2 linked regions of the Drosophila melanogaster genome follow. The protein of the gene in region 1 interacts with the protein of each later gene in a pairwise test. Each region holds a gene or a part of one and is shown in the gene's direction. Other genes may lie near its edges.

The links. The genes of interacting proteins can lie anywhere in the genome.
Region 2: the proteins of CG10799 (region 1) and CG1640 interact in a two-hybrid assay, tested with the Drosophila melanogaster proteins (one large-scale study listed by BioGRID).

What each region holds. Positions count from the first base shown.
Region 1 is NT_033778.4:13,253,201-13,260,919, forward strand, and holds CG10799 (uncharacterized protein), read left to right. Parts: upstream 1-4,685; 5' UTR 4,686-4,750; coding exon 4,751-5,251; 3' UTR 5,252-5,277; downstream 5,278-7,719. Other genes in the region: CG4714 (uncharacterized protein), read right to left, coding at 1-1,025; CG4716 (uncharacterized protein), read left to right, coding at 3,483-4,154; CG42319 (uncharacterized protein), read left to right, coding at 7,488-7,694.
Region 2 is NC_004354.4:13,366,362-13,373,605, forward strand, and holds the start of CG1640 (uncharacterized protein), read left to right. Parts: upstream 1-4,244; 5' UTR 4,245-4,425; coding exon 4,426-4,441; intron 4,442-4,633; exon of another isoform or gene 4,634-5,165; intron 5,166-7,244. Other genes in the region: dmrt11E (doublesex-Mab related 11E), read left to right, coding at 1,839-1,889, 2,132-2,879, 3,638-3,972.

The sequences.
Region 1 (7,719 bases):
TCCGGTATGTCGGAGACATCGAAAGAGTCGACCTCACTTTCTGGAGCCGCCTCCTCAGCCTGTTGCTCTTTGTCCACGTCTCCAATCGATTCCGACGACGAGCTGGAACCGGAGTCCATGTTCGACGTTGGATCCGCAAAGAAGCCATGATCTTGCTGGACGCTTATCACCGACCCAGCGTCCAATGACTGTGAAGACTCGTCGTGCTCCTCCGATATGTCCGACAGACTGGGCACATCAAAGTCCCTCAGAAAGTTGGTTTTTAACTGGACTGAATCCGGATCGCATTCGGTTTTTAACGTTCTTGTCGATACAATGCTTATGCCAGTCAAACTAACCGAATAATCAATGTCCTCATACTTCACATCCGATTGGAATATGTTTCTATCAGCGGGGCCATCTGAGAAGCCATAGGTGGGGAATAGGCTGACCAATTTGGGTGGATGGAATGGATAGTCTTCTGAGTCGTCGGTGAGAACTGACGAGGACACAGACTCCCCGTCTCCAATGGTGGGCTCATCAAAGGTGACTACCTGTTCCTGCTCTTCTTCCTCTACCTCATTATCCCTGATCTCTTCCATATATTCCGGTGTAAAATGAACTGGGCTCTCGATTGCTGTCGGTGCAAAGCGAGTGGTTGCGAAATTCTTCAAACGCTCCTTTCGCTCCTTCTTCAGCTTCAGTTTCTTTTCTTCTGGCGATAGTTCATCTGATGCTTCCGTTTGCTGCACTTCATTACCAAGCTCAGTTGCTTCGATAGCTACGTGTTCGGTGGTTTCCGCTTCCTGTCCCTCCTCCGTCGCCACCTGGGCGGTAATTGCGCCAGATTCGATCTGTGGCTTCTCCTCCCGCGGCTCATCGCCAGCTGGTTGGTTGCCCTCCTCTGGCTTGGAGATCACTTCGGGCTCAGCTGTTGATTCTGGTGGCACAACCACTGGAACAGTGTCTACCTCGGATTTTTCACCTGCCTCGATGGCCTCCACCACGTGCAAGACTTCTTCCGTAGAGGCATGATTCTGGGACATTTTTGGTGTTAATGTGTGTGTGTGTTTTGTTTTTTTTTTGGTGTTTTTGTTGTTTTTAAATGTTTTTATTATTTTATATTTTTTTGTGTGTGTTTATTTTGTGTTACCTGTGGGTGTGTTGTGTTTTTGAGTTTCTATCTTATTGTGACAAATAACTCAAGCTAAATAATAGGTAATAAAAAGTTTATGTCAATATGGATTAATTAAAATTTAAATATATAAATAATAAATACATATATCCAATACTTTTTGCAAAGCTCTTGCAGTACAAGTTATAAATGAACGCATTTGATTTAAAGAAAAACTGGTATACTTTTAGGCTTGACATACTAATACTATATCCATTTAGATTAAACGTTCTTAAGCAATAAACAAAATGAATTTAAATGATATGAACTTGTGTAAACAGATTCTTTAGTCTTAATAAGAAGGCGATTTTTTATTTTTAAGAACTACAGCTCCATTACCGAACTTTGTGTGGAATTAAGGCGAAACTGCCGGACTTTAAGCACCATCTGGGGTCCAATTGGAGGACCTAAGTAAATCTTGCGAGGGCTTTAAAGTTGATTGATCGTTGCCCATTGTGTGCGTGTGTTCTTGGAATTTTTTTTGTCCGGGTGCGGTAAACTTTATGACATTGATAAATTTTTAATAAATATGACAAAATGTCGGCGCTTTAATTCACTGCCATTTTGGGCAGCGGCACCTGGTGCCTGGAGCAAGGATTTACATAAAAGTGCTGCAGTGCTGAAGAGTATAATTTGCATGGGAAGCACTGCAGCACGTGGAATGGATTTCGGGTCTTAATACTTTCCGTTTGATTGTCTGGGCGTGGAAATTGATTCAGCACAATGCCAAATTGCTTTAAATTATGCATGAGCCTGCGACTTTGCTCCACCCAATCCACTGCTTTCCCTTTGATGTTGCGGAGGACATCTGGGAATCATATTCAATAAGTTGGATCCGCAGTAAGAGGGCAAATAACTTTTTTTATGACAGACGCAATGGGCCAATCCCCTTTGATGGCTGTTAAATAAATTTGTTTTCGATGTTATTTAAGACGCTGCCATTGCCGCGCCTTCAGGTGAATAATAGCCAACTTTCTGATGGATATTTAATAGTCGGGTAAACACCGGTGACACTATAATTGCCCCTACTGGGCACTCATCAGTGGACACATGTGACCTACCGGTGGACGCACTTCCCAGTCGTCTCACGTCTTCTTCGGCGAAACCGAAAGGGAATCCTTTTGCTATTTATCATTCAGTCCGAAACTTTTCGGGAATCCTTTCACTTTTTTTTTTTGTTTGCTTATCTGTCTTAAGTGGCATTTTTGGCTTAGGCGTCTACAGTATCTGTCGGATACTTAGGAGAACTCTTGAACTTGACTTTCCCTCCACGAAACGCTTCAATTACGCTGGCACGTTGCGCCGGCAAAATTGTAATTTACGAGTGTTTCTCTACACAGCGCGGGAAAAGATAGTCTTTTGGATACACAAATCGAACAGATTAAAAAATGATAAACAATTTTATGGTAAAAGTTTTCGTTTTACTTACTTTTACTTATATGAAAAGAAGAAATAGGCAAGCGCTTAACTTTCGGATTTTTTGATTTAATGGAGCTCTTTGGAATTCATTTTTTCATTAATAAATTTAATTTTATATTTTTTCCCAGAAATTATATATACATATATATGCTGTTTAGATTAGAAGTTCAATTTATGTGGGTCGTTCTTTAAAAACAAATATGGATTTCACTGAAAAGCATTAAAAGATTAGATGAGTTAACATATATATTATATATATATTTAATTAAGGAATTTATCTATAAAACAAAATTGTAAAGCTAATAAAAAAATATTATGTATTCAACAAGATTTTGAGTGTTTAAATTTGTTTTAAAATAATTCTGAATACAAAAATATTACCTGTGACTGGTAAATTTACATTTTTTGCTTGCTGTGTACTCGGATTATACTTATACATTTTTGCTCATCTGTTTTGAAGTAGCATCAATAATTACAAATTGCGCGTCGGGATGATCTGTAGTGATCCGTGGGCTTATCAGGCCTGACTTTGGCAGCTCGATAGTGCATCGCGTTCCACAGCCTCTCAATTTGTTGTCATGAATTATGCAAGTGAGTCTGGATTTCTGGACTCGCAATTGGCGCAAACTCGGAAATTGCGCAGTGCCGCGGAAACTGAAAATGGGAGAGAGTGTTATGTGCAATCTATATGAAATATATGTATTTATACATTCGCATTTGATGGAAGCTTTAATTACGGTTGCACCCGTAATCTGAAAATCTGGACAGAAACGAACTTTTGAGGTTTCTTGGCAAATCTTTGCCATCGGTCGTAGTCAGTTTGCAAAATAAGGTCTTGGCGCAAAGTGTGCCTAGAGGAGCACAGGAGAGTTTACATACCTTAAAAGGTTATACCACAAGGACTAGATCAATGCAGCGATCACTGTTACTACTGGCCGTGTCAGCCATCCTTTTCTGTGCTGCAGTGGCTCTGCCCTCAAGACTAACCAAATCCGAGGAGGATTGGCTGGAGCAGATGCTGACGCTGAGCGAAGACAGCGGTGAACTGCAGGACCTGGACGAGAGCACCGGAATCCATATTATCAAACGATCTGCCAAGGATGCCAGCAGCTCATCTGAGGAGCATAATGACAAAGCCAAAGACAAGGCCAAGAACAAGGCGGACAGCTCCGGCGATTCCTCCTCCGAGGAAAAGACAACACCAGCTGCGGTAGAAGAAACAACTACGGAGCACACTGCTAGGAAACGCAGAAGCACGGAGGATACGATGGTGCGATCCTTTTGCCAGTCACTGAAAGAATTCGATATTAAGAATTTCAATCTACAATCTGCATATGACCGGGCCGTAAGCTTTTGTAAGCAAAGGGAGTCTAGACGAAGACGCCAGGCTGCCGATCAGAAATCCAGCGATGCGCCGGACCTGGATGCCCAGGCTGAGAAGGAACTGGACGAGCAGATGGCGCAGGCTGTGGCGGAGCTTTTGAAGGACAAGGACAACACCAGCATCGAAGACTACGCCCAGGGATGCGAGGTCATGGAGGTTAGCTCCAAAGAGGCCAACGAGGCCACCTATGCCGAATGATTTTGAATAAACATAAATAACATTATAGCTTATGTTTTCGTAGCCATATTACATTTTTACTATTATTATAATGACTGAGTCATCAAAACAAGAGATTAGGCTATTGCCTATGTATTATTTACTTTTTAACTTATGGGGTGTGTTTATTCAAGTTTACGAGTAACACGTATAAATATCAGCAACAAGAAATATTTTCCTCTTCTAATAATTAATTTTGCCATATTATTTAACTATTACAATTTTCATTACTTGAAATGCATTTGGAAATTAGCTCACCTAACATTGAAACTTAGCTTATTTAATTGTGTAAGTCAAATTATGCATTACGTGTCTGTTTTAAGGGACTAAGTGCGTCTGTTTCAATCTACATGCATTATAAAGAGTCATTTCTGAAACCCACTATCTGCCTGACTCAATTGAATTTGAGTCTATAATCACATAATCGCCGAGGAGGCGATAGCACATTTGTTGAGGCTTCGCCGGTAACGTGTGCAGCTGTCCAGAATCAGTTCGAAAAAATCAGTCTCAGCGAGAAGAACCCACCCATCAAGCTAGTGGAATAGTGGAGTTTACCAGGATATACAAAGATTACCGGGATGCGTCGATCTGTTTTGCTGTTCCTAATCTCCGCCATTGTGCTGAGCGCGGCACTTCCTTTGCCCCCAATTTGGGAGGACTCCGAATCGGATTCCGAGTATAATGATTATAGTGAGCTATCGAAGCAGCAGAATCTGAAGAGCAGTATCGAGAAAACTATCAGCAAGCGAGCTACCAAGGACACTAGTAACAGCACGGAAGATGATGAGCTCACGGATGGTAGCAATGAGAATGTTAACGATAAAATGGACAGCTCAATGGAATCGTCTTCTATGCTGATCATGGCATCCGAGGAAGAATCGGAGTCCGCTGTCAGAAGGCGCAGGTCTGGTGAGAGGAACAGGAATATAGGGCTCCTGGCCACGATTTGCCCAAATGCTGATTTCAGAGATTTGGAGAACGGTATTACCCTAGATTCTAGAATTGAAATAAGGGATATGTATGCGATTTGTAAAACTCTACCAGAGTCCGGTCGTCTACAGCAATACAACCGTTCATAAATTAAATAAAAGCAAAGAAGAATTCTAAAAATTTAAAAATTCTTCTGAAATTTGTTTCCCTCAGTCATGAAACCCCTGTCTCATTAGTCATCTACCTCATTATCAGTAAAAACCATCCTTATCACGACAGCAGTCGTCAAAGTTGTCTGACCTCAGAGCAAAAATGTCAGTTTCATGTTTGTTTACGCTTTTGAATTTATGATTTACTCATGAGAACTAAAAAAAGGTCTGCATTCTTGAAGTGATTTTAGAACGCTTTGGTAACCAATATCTTGTTAATAAGGATTTAGAAATATAAAATTTTTTTTTGTAATATTACCAACAAAATCTTTTGGAGAATTTCGATCGATACTTATAACCAACTTTGAAACTTCTCTTTGAAACTGAAGCTAGGGTATCTGTTAGTCGAGGAAATTGACCACAGCATGTTCTTTAGTTTCCGTACGAAAAACTATGCATATATGCTAAACGAATTGTTTTTTTTTGTTTTCTGAAGTCTTTTTTGTGATTCGTGTCATCTGCATTTTGCGCCCTTTCCGACGTTTGGGATATTGAAAAATTTTCTCGAAAAAATCGCCTACGGTTTTCTCCCTTTGTTTGTCACCATTTGTTGTTGTTGCAGCTTTGCGGCTGATAAGGCACGTTTTGTTCACTCTTTTATGGCCACGTCAAAGAAATGTGTACGAACTATTCCTTAAACATGCATATCACACACATGAGCATATCCACATTTGTAGTATTTCCTGTGCTAATCGAAATTTCGTTGTCAGGTGTGTGCCACTTTTTTGGGGCCTTTCTCCGAAAATTTCCCACACATGGAACTCTGATTTCCATTGTTGTTTATTTGACAAGTCGAATTCTTTGCCTGTGAGCTTGGCACGTTCAAGTTATTTATTCTGCTTTAAACTTGGCAGTTGACGTGCATCACAAAGATGTTGGGTATGGACATGAACTGCGCAAAGGCTTTAAAATATGATTTTATGGTAGAGGTAAATTAAATTAACCATTTCTTAGTTGATAATAATTGGGATGTTACTCGTGAATTAATTACTTTATTCGTTTAAAAGTATATAACACGTAAGGGAAAGCGTTTCCGAAACTACATAGTATACATATTCTTGATCAGGATCACTAGCATATCCGGACATGTCCGTATGTCCATCTGTCTGTCCGCATGAACGCTATGATCTCGGGAACTATAAAAGCTTGAATTTTCAAATTGGTATTTGAGTAGTGATTTTATAAATAAATTTATAAGGTATCATCTGTTACTTTCATCTCCAGTTCCTTTTCTTGATTGAATATAAAACTAGCTTGCATGCGTAGCTTTAATTAATACTCGTTGTTGAGCAATGAATAATAACTTAATAACAGTGGAAAGAGAAAAAACAGCTGATGCTTTGACTATGAATACCAAATGCACTTGTGAATTTAAACTTGTATATTTGAGAAGATCTTTAATCAAAAGCAAAAAACGCTTCGACTTGGCAAAAAAAAAAAGCAACAAAGAATGCAACAGTTTTGCATCGTCACATTATCTAAAAAAAAAAAGGAAAAACAGACCACGAGGAGCAGAGGAAAAGCGCGAGAGAGAATGGGGAAAATAGAAAAAATGCAGCCACAAAGGAAAACTTCTCGAAAATTATTTTAGTTGCCCAAGTCGAGTGCAGTCGTGTGGAAGTGAAAGAGAAGCCACAAAATACAATAAAAAAAAAAGAAAAACAAAAGAACCAGGCAGCAGGCATAAAAAAAGCGTTAAATACACTTTCCATAATTATCCCTCATAGTCGTGCTTATTCTTGGTTATTCAACAATTTCGGAGTTTCCGTACTTTTCGCCACTTTGCGGGCCAAGATCCAATGAGATTGGGGTTGTGCAATGCGTGACTGCTGATTATATAAGTCGCACAATTACCCAAAGTTCAGGCATTCAACTAGTTCCTTCACTTTCAATAGAAAGTTCGAAAGTAAGCGAGTTTCAGGTTGTGTTGAAAAGCCGGCAAAAGTCGAGTAATATTTTTGCACAGGCGGAATTTTGACAGGCAAACGCAAACAAGCAATCGGAAAAAAGAGCAACTAAAACTTTCGCAGCGCTAAAAAAAAGAGCAATATAAAAGTGGAAAGGTAGAATAGAAAAGCAAGAGTGCCGCCGGCAAGAGTGCGAATTTATAAATAAAACCAGCGGATAGCAGGAAGAGATCCGGTATCTCTTCGCCAGAGAACGGGTAAACAAAGCGATGCCGGAACAACTGGGTCTGCTATGGTCCGTGCCGGAGTCCAAGTCAAAGGCGCCCATCATCAAGGTGTCCTGCGGCATCGGCGATACGGACGGCTATCCCGCCTTCGATGTCGACTCCGATGCGTATGCCACCAAGGACGACAGCCGGTGGGGATTCCTCATAACCGGCGGAGCCGAGTTCCATATGCCGCTGACAGTCTTCCAGGTGAGTTGCGTGGTTAAGCTTGAGG
Region 2 (7,244 bases), on another chromosome or scaffold:
TATATGATGATGCAACCTCGATCTGAAAAACGAAAACAAAAGAGTCCACACACTTGTTGAAATTTGTCGCATACAGCGAGCGAAATAATTGCATAAACTGGCATTATCTATCTATTAGATATTATTTCTATATAGCATATTTATTTCCATTCTTGTTTATGGAAACAGAACATTTGTAGATGTGTGTCCCAAAAAGGGCCTGTTTATCTTACTTGGCTACATTTCAGAGCTCTCATATTATTTTACCATTTCAAATCATCTGCCACTTGGCAGCTCAAATTTCCCACTTTAAGTTCCATTCTCGTTGGGTAAATCCAATGAAAACTGATAGATAGAGATCGTAATGGAGTAAAATCAATAATGATAGCATTGATAAAGCCAATGGAAATACAATTATTTCGCGAGCTGTATGGTTTAGCCTAGCGACCAGTGAGCCTGTTATATTAGAACTCTATAGATAGATCGTCGTTTGGCAATCAAACGTTGTTGAATTTGAAGCCCAAATCGAAATCGAGAACAAAACTCGATAACCGATAATCGATAATCGAGAATCGAGAAGCGGCGAGCCCTTTAAGCATTGTGATATGATATAATAGCAAACGAAGTGAATTCAGAGTGCGTCTGTGTCAAGAGCGGAGAATCGTATCGAAGGAAATCAAAGTATTTACGATAGCTACAATCCATAGTCGATATAAAATATTAATAATAATACTAATAATATTATTGATGATATATAGGTACCATATGTAATGTTTGTACTTTTGTGATTTGTGTTCGTTCAAATTTTTTGTAGGGCCGCGTGTTTTGTAATTTAGATTTAGTTGGTTCAAGGATCAAAACTTTTTTAAGCGAATGTTATATATATACACGCACCGTTAATACACACATAGATTTCAATTTAGAGAACGTTTTTTAAACAGTAAAGGACAATAACTTTGCAAGCATTTACCATATGATTCCATGTTAAACACAAGTAATTATAATTACCAAACATTAAACAAAAGTTCGTTGTTGGTCCCGTTTTAACATGAACCGATTGTCCGCTACAACCTTATAATATATGATGATCATAATGTATATGATCCTGAGACCATAATAGAACGCACTCGAATACACGAATAGTACTTTCCTAGTCGCACCTGCATTTTGACCAACCAACCAATCGAATCGAAAACCTGGCACATTTCTAGCTCAAGCTTTAATCAATGTAATCCTCTAATAGAACTCAGTAACGTTTTTGAATCACACTTACTAAATGGATATAAAATACATATATGTATGCAGAGGGACAGTGCGTTTCACAATTGTATGAAGTGAGATAATAGCATTTATTCATTCGGTTCGAAGAACACAATTTCCCATTTGACAACTTTTTGCGGTAAGTTCGATTACATATCCTAATTAAAAACAGCTGGCTGAATTCGAAATTATTTGACAATCGCCAACAGTTGGCCATCATTTGTTCCGAAATTTAAAAGATTGTTACTTGTGAAACGCGCTGCACCGTATATATAAGCATATATGTATATATTTACACAAAAAATATATAAAGAAGGCATTTAAAAGGCATTAAATGGAAAGTCCTTTCACCTAAAAACTTCTAGTATATAAATCGCTGAGAATTTTTTTTTCTTTTTTTTACGTACTATTAGCTAATGAAACGATATGGCTAAACTCGAGTTGAATTTGTATTTATACGGAAATATATATATACATATATATATATGTGTGTACGTGCTATATAAGATAATGAATGCTACAAATTGTTATACACGTAAACCGAAATTGACTCAAATAAACGAATAAAGATATTAAACGAAGACAGGCCAGAAATCAATATGCACTTTGACGAAACACGGAGTCCAAACAAAGATGTACGGATTGGAAAGGTATAGTGAAACATGCCTATAAAGAACCATAGAAGATTCACAGATACTTTTACCTTCTTAAATTCTTTAAGATGCCCCAAGTAATTGATTAAGCAAGTGATCCATAACCTATATATATATGCTATATATGTATATATTACTAATCTTTGAAATCGCTTTCAATGAGTTCCTCCTGTAGTCGAATGTATCTTTTGCATGCTGATGCGAGACATCTGTGCGGCCATTGGATCTTCTATATTTAGAGCCAGCGATTAGCAGCCAATGGCAGGCAAGGAACCGATCCCGAGTCCGATCCCTTGCATGCTCGCTGTGTTGTACCTCATGCTAGTACACCTCGTGGGCGTCGGATACCCTGGGGACACAACGACGACGACGACGACGGAAACCACTTGACGCTGCCAGACAGTCTGACGGCGACAAGTAGCTGCGGTTGCCAGTGCTTAAATGTTCGCGCCCCGTTCCACATCCTTTTAGTCGATCAGCAAGCGAGGATGAGCAAGGACGCCAGTGTTAGGATTTGCCAGCGGGAGCGACGTCTCCTGCGGACGCCGAAGTGCGCCAGGTGTCGCAATCACGGCGTCATCTCCTGTGTCAAGGGTCACAAGCGTCTGTGCCGTTGGCGCGAATGCTGCTGCCCCAATTGCCAACTGGTCGTCGATCGCCAGCGGGTGATGGCCGCCCAGGTGGCCCTGCGACGTCAGCAAACCATGGAGGCTCTGGAGGCCACCGCATCATCTACAAAATCCACGGGCGTAACAACGGCCAGTGCCAACAACTCCAGCAGCAGCGAGGGCGAGGACTCCCTCAGCTCCACTTCACCACCGCCGGCACATTCACATCCACATTCGCATTCGCATCCCACATCTTGCGTTAGCAACTCATCTTCATCCTCGGCCACCCGACAGGCTCTGATGGCCCAAAAGAGGATCTACAAGCAGAGACTACGCAGTTTGCAGCAATCCACATTGCATATCACAGCCGCCATGGAAGGTTAGTATGGGACTACATAAATAAGGATTTATGTACATATCAAAAAGGATATCTATCTATGAGTCCGCAATCAAATAGACACTTTCCAATTTGGAAATTATTAGATGTCGTAAAGTAGACGACACAGCTGAAATGATAAGTACATTCCCTACTCACACGCTTTCCCATACGGTGCCAGACTGTCTGGTCCGTTCGTAATCGGAGATCCTCTCCGGTCTCCAGTCTCCTGTCTCCCGCCGCCCATCTTCCGTCTCTTTTCCTCTGTCCATGGACGTGGTCGTGGTCGTGGACAGGAAATGACTGATGCCCAACAATAACAACAGCAATTATTCGACTGACGAAAAACAATTGAAATCGGATGCTTCGAAATGTGTGTGTGCAGTGTACGCACATTTTCCAATCACTTGAGGGGAGTCACATTCGGTAAGCTGAGACGCGACCAAAAACGGAAAAACCCATCCGACTCACAAAAAGAGCCAAATGTGGCAACAGCAATTGACTTCTTTCTGGGTTTTCCATCTGGTTCCATCCGAATAAGTGGAGATCCCGAAACCGGTCCGAAGTTGAAACAAAAAAACAAAAAAAAAAAAACGGTGCCAGGCTGTCTGGTCAGGCGACGCGTGTCTCGGATTACCCAATAATAAATTGTTTCAATTTGGAATACCCATTCATAACGAATCGCGGCAATTTGTAGTGATAACGCCCCCACCAAAACCCTCACTAATTTCAACCATTCCTTTTGGTTCGTTCTCTTTCAGAATACAAACAGCGATTTCCCACGTTCAGCTCGCCATTGATGGAGCGCATGCGCAAACGGCGGGCATTCGCCGATCCGGAACTGAACCATGTCATGGAGGCGACGCTGGGCGGTAACGCTTTGTACTTTGCCACCGTTGCCGCCGCCGCCGCCGCCTGCGCACCCGTTCATCAGGAGCAGCACATTTATCACCCGATGCCGCCGACGATACCGCTAACGATCCCGCCCACAAATCCAGCGATGACCACGCCCGCAGTCACCACTGCCTCCACCGGCAGTGGCAAGAAGCCCAAGCTGAGTTTCTCCATCGAATCCATCATGGGCATCAGCACGTAGCCATGGCTTTCTAGGGCTTACTACCCATCATTTTTTCCAAATGCACTCTGTACATAATTCTAGCGTTAGAAAACCCATTTTTTTGAATAGCAATAAGTTTCGAGTGAAATAAAACATGCGAAAAGGTTTTGTAGAAGAGAAAAAAAAGCTTACCAAACTATTGATAAAAATTCTTTTATACGGAGGAGATATTCACAGAAATCTTATTTTCTAAGAGCTATCATAACGAACTTGAAAAGAATACTATATAAACAAACCTAAGTAGACTATGGGTAAAATGTAGGGCATAGCTTGTTCATACATTTTCGGGCCAGGATTGAATCGACACAAAACTAATTCAATGGGACACTCCTATAACAATCAATTTCAGTGATATATGAAGATGCGCACAAAGCCAGCAAAATTGTTTAAGTGAATTTAAAGCCTTACACGAAAAACAAGCAAAGAGCAAAGATGTTTAAAAACAGAAGTAAGTTCATAATTAATAGAAATAAACGAAAGTTAGTTAAGATCGCAATTAATCGATATTTAAAAAGAGCTATTTATAAAACACATTAGTTTGTTTTTGAATGCTCTGAGCTTTCCAGTGTTGGTGCAAATCGCTGGTCTATCGATCTATCGCCGTCTATCGAAAGTTTGGCTGCGAGGGCTGCAGACGTGATATTTTTAAAACTTAATCGCTGCCCGCTTCATCGTGACTTTTGCCCGCAAGAAAAACATATAGTCGGTAAATACTGCCAGCACTTCATTTTCCATCTCGGTGCGGTTTCAGTTCTTGTTGTCAGTTCCTTAATTGCGTCTAGCGGCCAAAGAGCTTTGAATTTTTGATACGATTCTGATTGGAGCTCGCACGCCGCACATATTCGCACACACACACACACGTACGCGCACACACACGCAGCCAAGCAAGCACACACGTTTTTATTAGGTATTTTATATACAGACATATCGCGTTTATTAATAAGTTTATGCAAGTTCTTGGGATCACAACAAACGCCGTTAGATAATCGCCACGCCCACTTGCGCCCATCAAGGTGAAACGACTAAAAAGTGCAGCGAAAAATCGATTTTTTGCTCTTGAACTGCCGACGTATATATGTATATATGCATGTGCATATATGTACATATATATAAACACAGTGGCCGAGAAATTCTAATTGGGAGCAGCGAGGAAGTGACAGTGAAAGTGATTTGTGCGCCCAAAAAAAAATCTAATACACAATAGTACCCTGATTTTGTTTATCGTTCTGCGTGCGTTTCCCTAATTGAATTGCGTGCCGTGTTATTGTTTTTTTTTTTGTGCTCAATTTGTGCGGCGTCAACAGCTGTTTAGCAACCCAATTAGCACATCAAAACACCCCCTTTACCCGTTATTTCTGCTTCTTTTTGTGTTGCTGTTGTTCGTTGCGCTCTACGTGTCAATCGGAGTTACAATATAATTTAATATAATTTACTAACGTTTGGCAAAAGTTGTGATTTTAGTAAATCCGAATGGCCGTGTTCTAATTGGATTCCTTATCGTTACTATCTTATCCAGTTGGTTTGTCTGATAATCCCCCCAATGCGGGGGGTGAAAGTGCAGGGGGGAGCGGGGTCTTTGAAGCAAAGTGCAGCCAGTTCACATAATTTTCTGTTTCAGATTTTTTTTTAACAGTTCGTTGCATAAGCCAGTTTTGTTGTCAAAACAATCACAAACAAAAGCGATACGCTGCATATATATATATCGCAGATAAACAGTGACTAACAAAAGTTGTCTCAAAAAAAAAAAAATGTTAAAATTTGAAAAATTTATTTAAAATAAATATTTGGAGGTAATGTTTCTTAAATTAATACGCAAAAGTTCTATGCACAGCTGCTTTAGATGGTTATCATATAAAAATTCTATTGGATATATTATTTTATATCTATCTATATCTATATATCGGCATCGTATTGAATTTGTCTTAATTAAGCAGAGATCACTGTATCGATGTTTTCTCATTCCCAAATTCTTACCCCTTTCCCCTAATTCTTAACCCTTTCGTCTATATCAATGCCATCAAAACCGCAACCGGTTTTCCAAAAAGTTATTGCCAACAAGTTTCAGTTTGTCTCGTCTAAACAATATACCTATATATATACACATACATTCATATATTCCAAAGATACATATGTGCGTATATAAAATAGCATACATTTGTGTATTTTTCGGGACCGGCATTTAGTACATTTTTAATTTAAAAACAAATAAATTCGCTGTCGCTAAAAAGAAAGCAAACAATCTGCGGCTGATTGATGCTGATTTTTGAGTGCGAAAAGTATAGTATTTTGGAGGTAATGTCGATCTTTGGTCATTGTCATGTTTCTAAAAGATTCTTTGTTCGTTTGCTCATTTTTTGCATTACGCAATTGGCGTTTCAAAGTGCAGAAATCAGAAAAGCTATATACATATATTCAATTGAAAGACAGGGAATCGTAAGCTGCGAATGGGACGTCACTGATAAGCTGCGCCGATTTGGCTCAAAGTCAAAAGTACGCTCAACTGATAGTGGCCCCCACCAATGGATGCCCTGCCAGTGGATTTAATGGAGAAATATAGCTATTAAATCATACATATGTATACATAATGCCTGGGTAAATGGCCCACAAATCCGTTAACTGCCTCTAAAAAAAAAGTTCCACCAAGATAAGAAATATAGTGAAATATATAGCAGCACACACAAGTAGATTCTAAACGGTCCCATTTTTAATTAAATTTTCTGGATGGTCAAGCAATAAATGTTCTTGAGATTAGGCTTTATGGCCATTCATTTTATTCAGCCGGTAACCGTTTTTATATTTTCCAAAAATATATATTCCTCCTCAAATAAAATATATATTTTTCAGCTTTGCAGTTGCTTGTGCAAAGCCCCAAAACTCTGATAAGAAATGCTCGATTGCAGTTTTGAAATGCGCGCCTTGCGGCGAGTGCAATTGGGTTTGAGTCTAGGATAAATGCACGGCGAATTTAATTGCAAAGTTTCCAAAGGTCGTAAATATTTACACTTTAGCTTCTTGATAAACAGAAAGGCAATAAAGTATCGAACCACAAGCAATCACATTGATAAGCTCTGAAAAAGTAAATGATACCACGCCTTGTCTTTGATAAGATACAAAAATGCACAGTGAAGAAAATGTATTTAGGTACTTGAATATTATATTGAGCGCGTGCTAACAATACCATATAAAAATGCTTAATATAATATGATATATATTTCACATCGAAATATCTATAGTTGCTTAAGTTTTCCTAG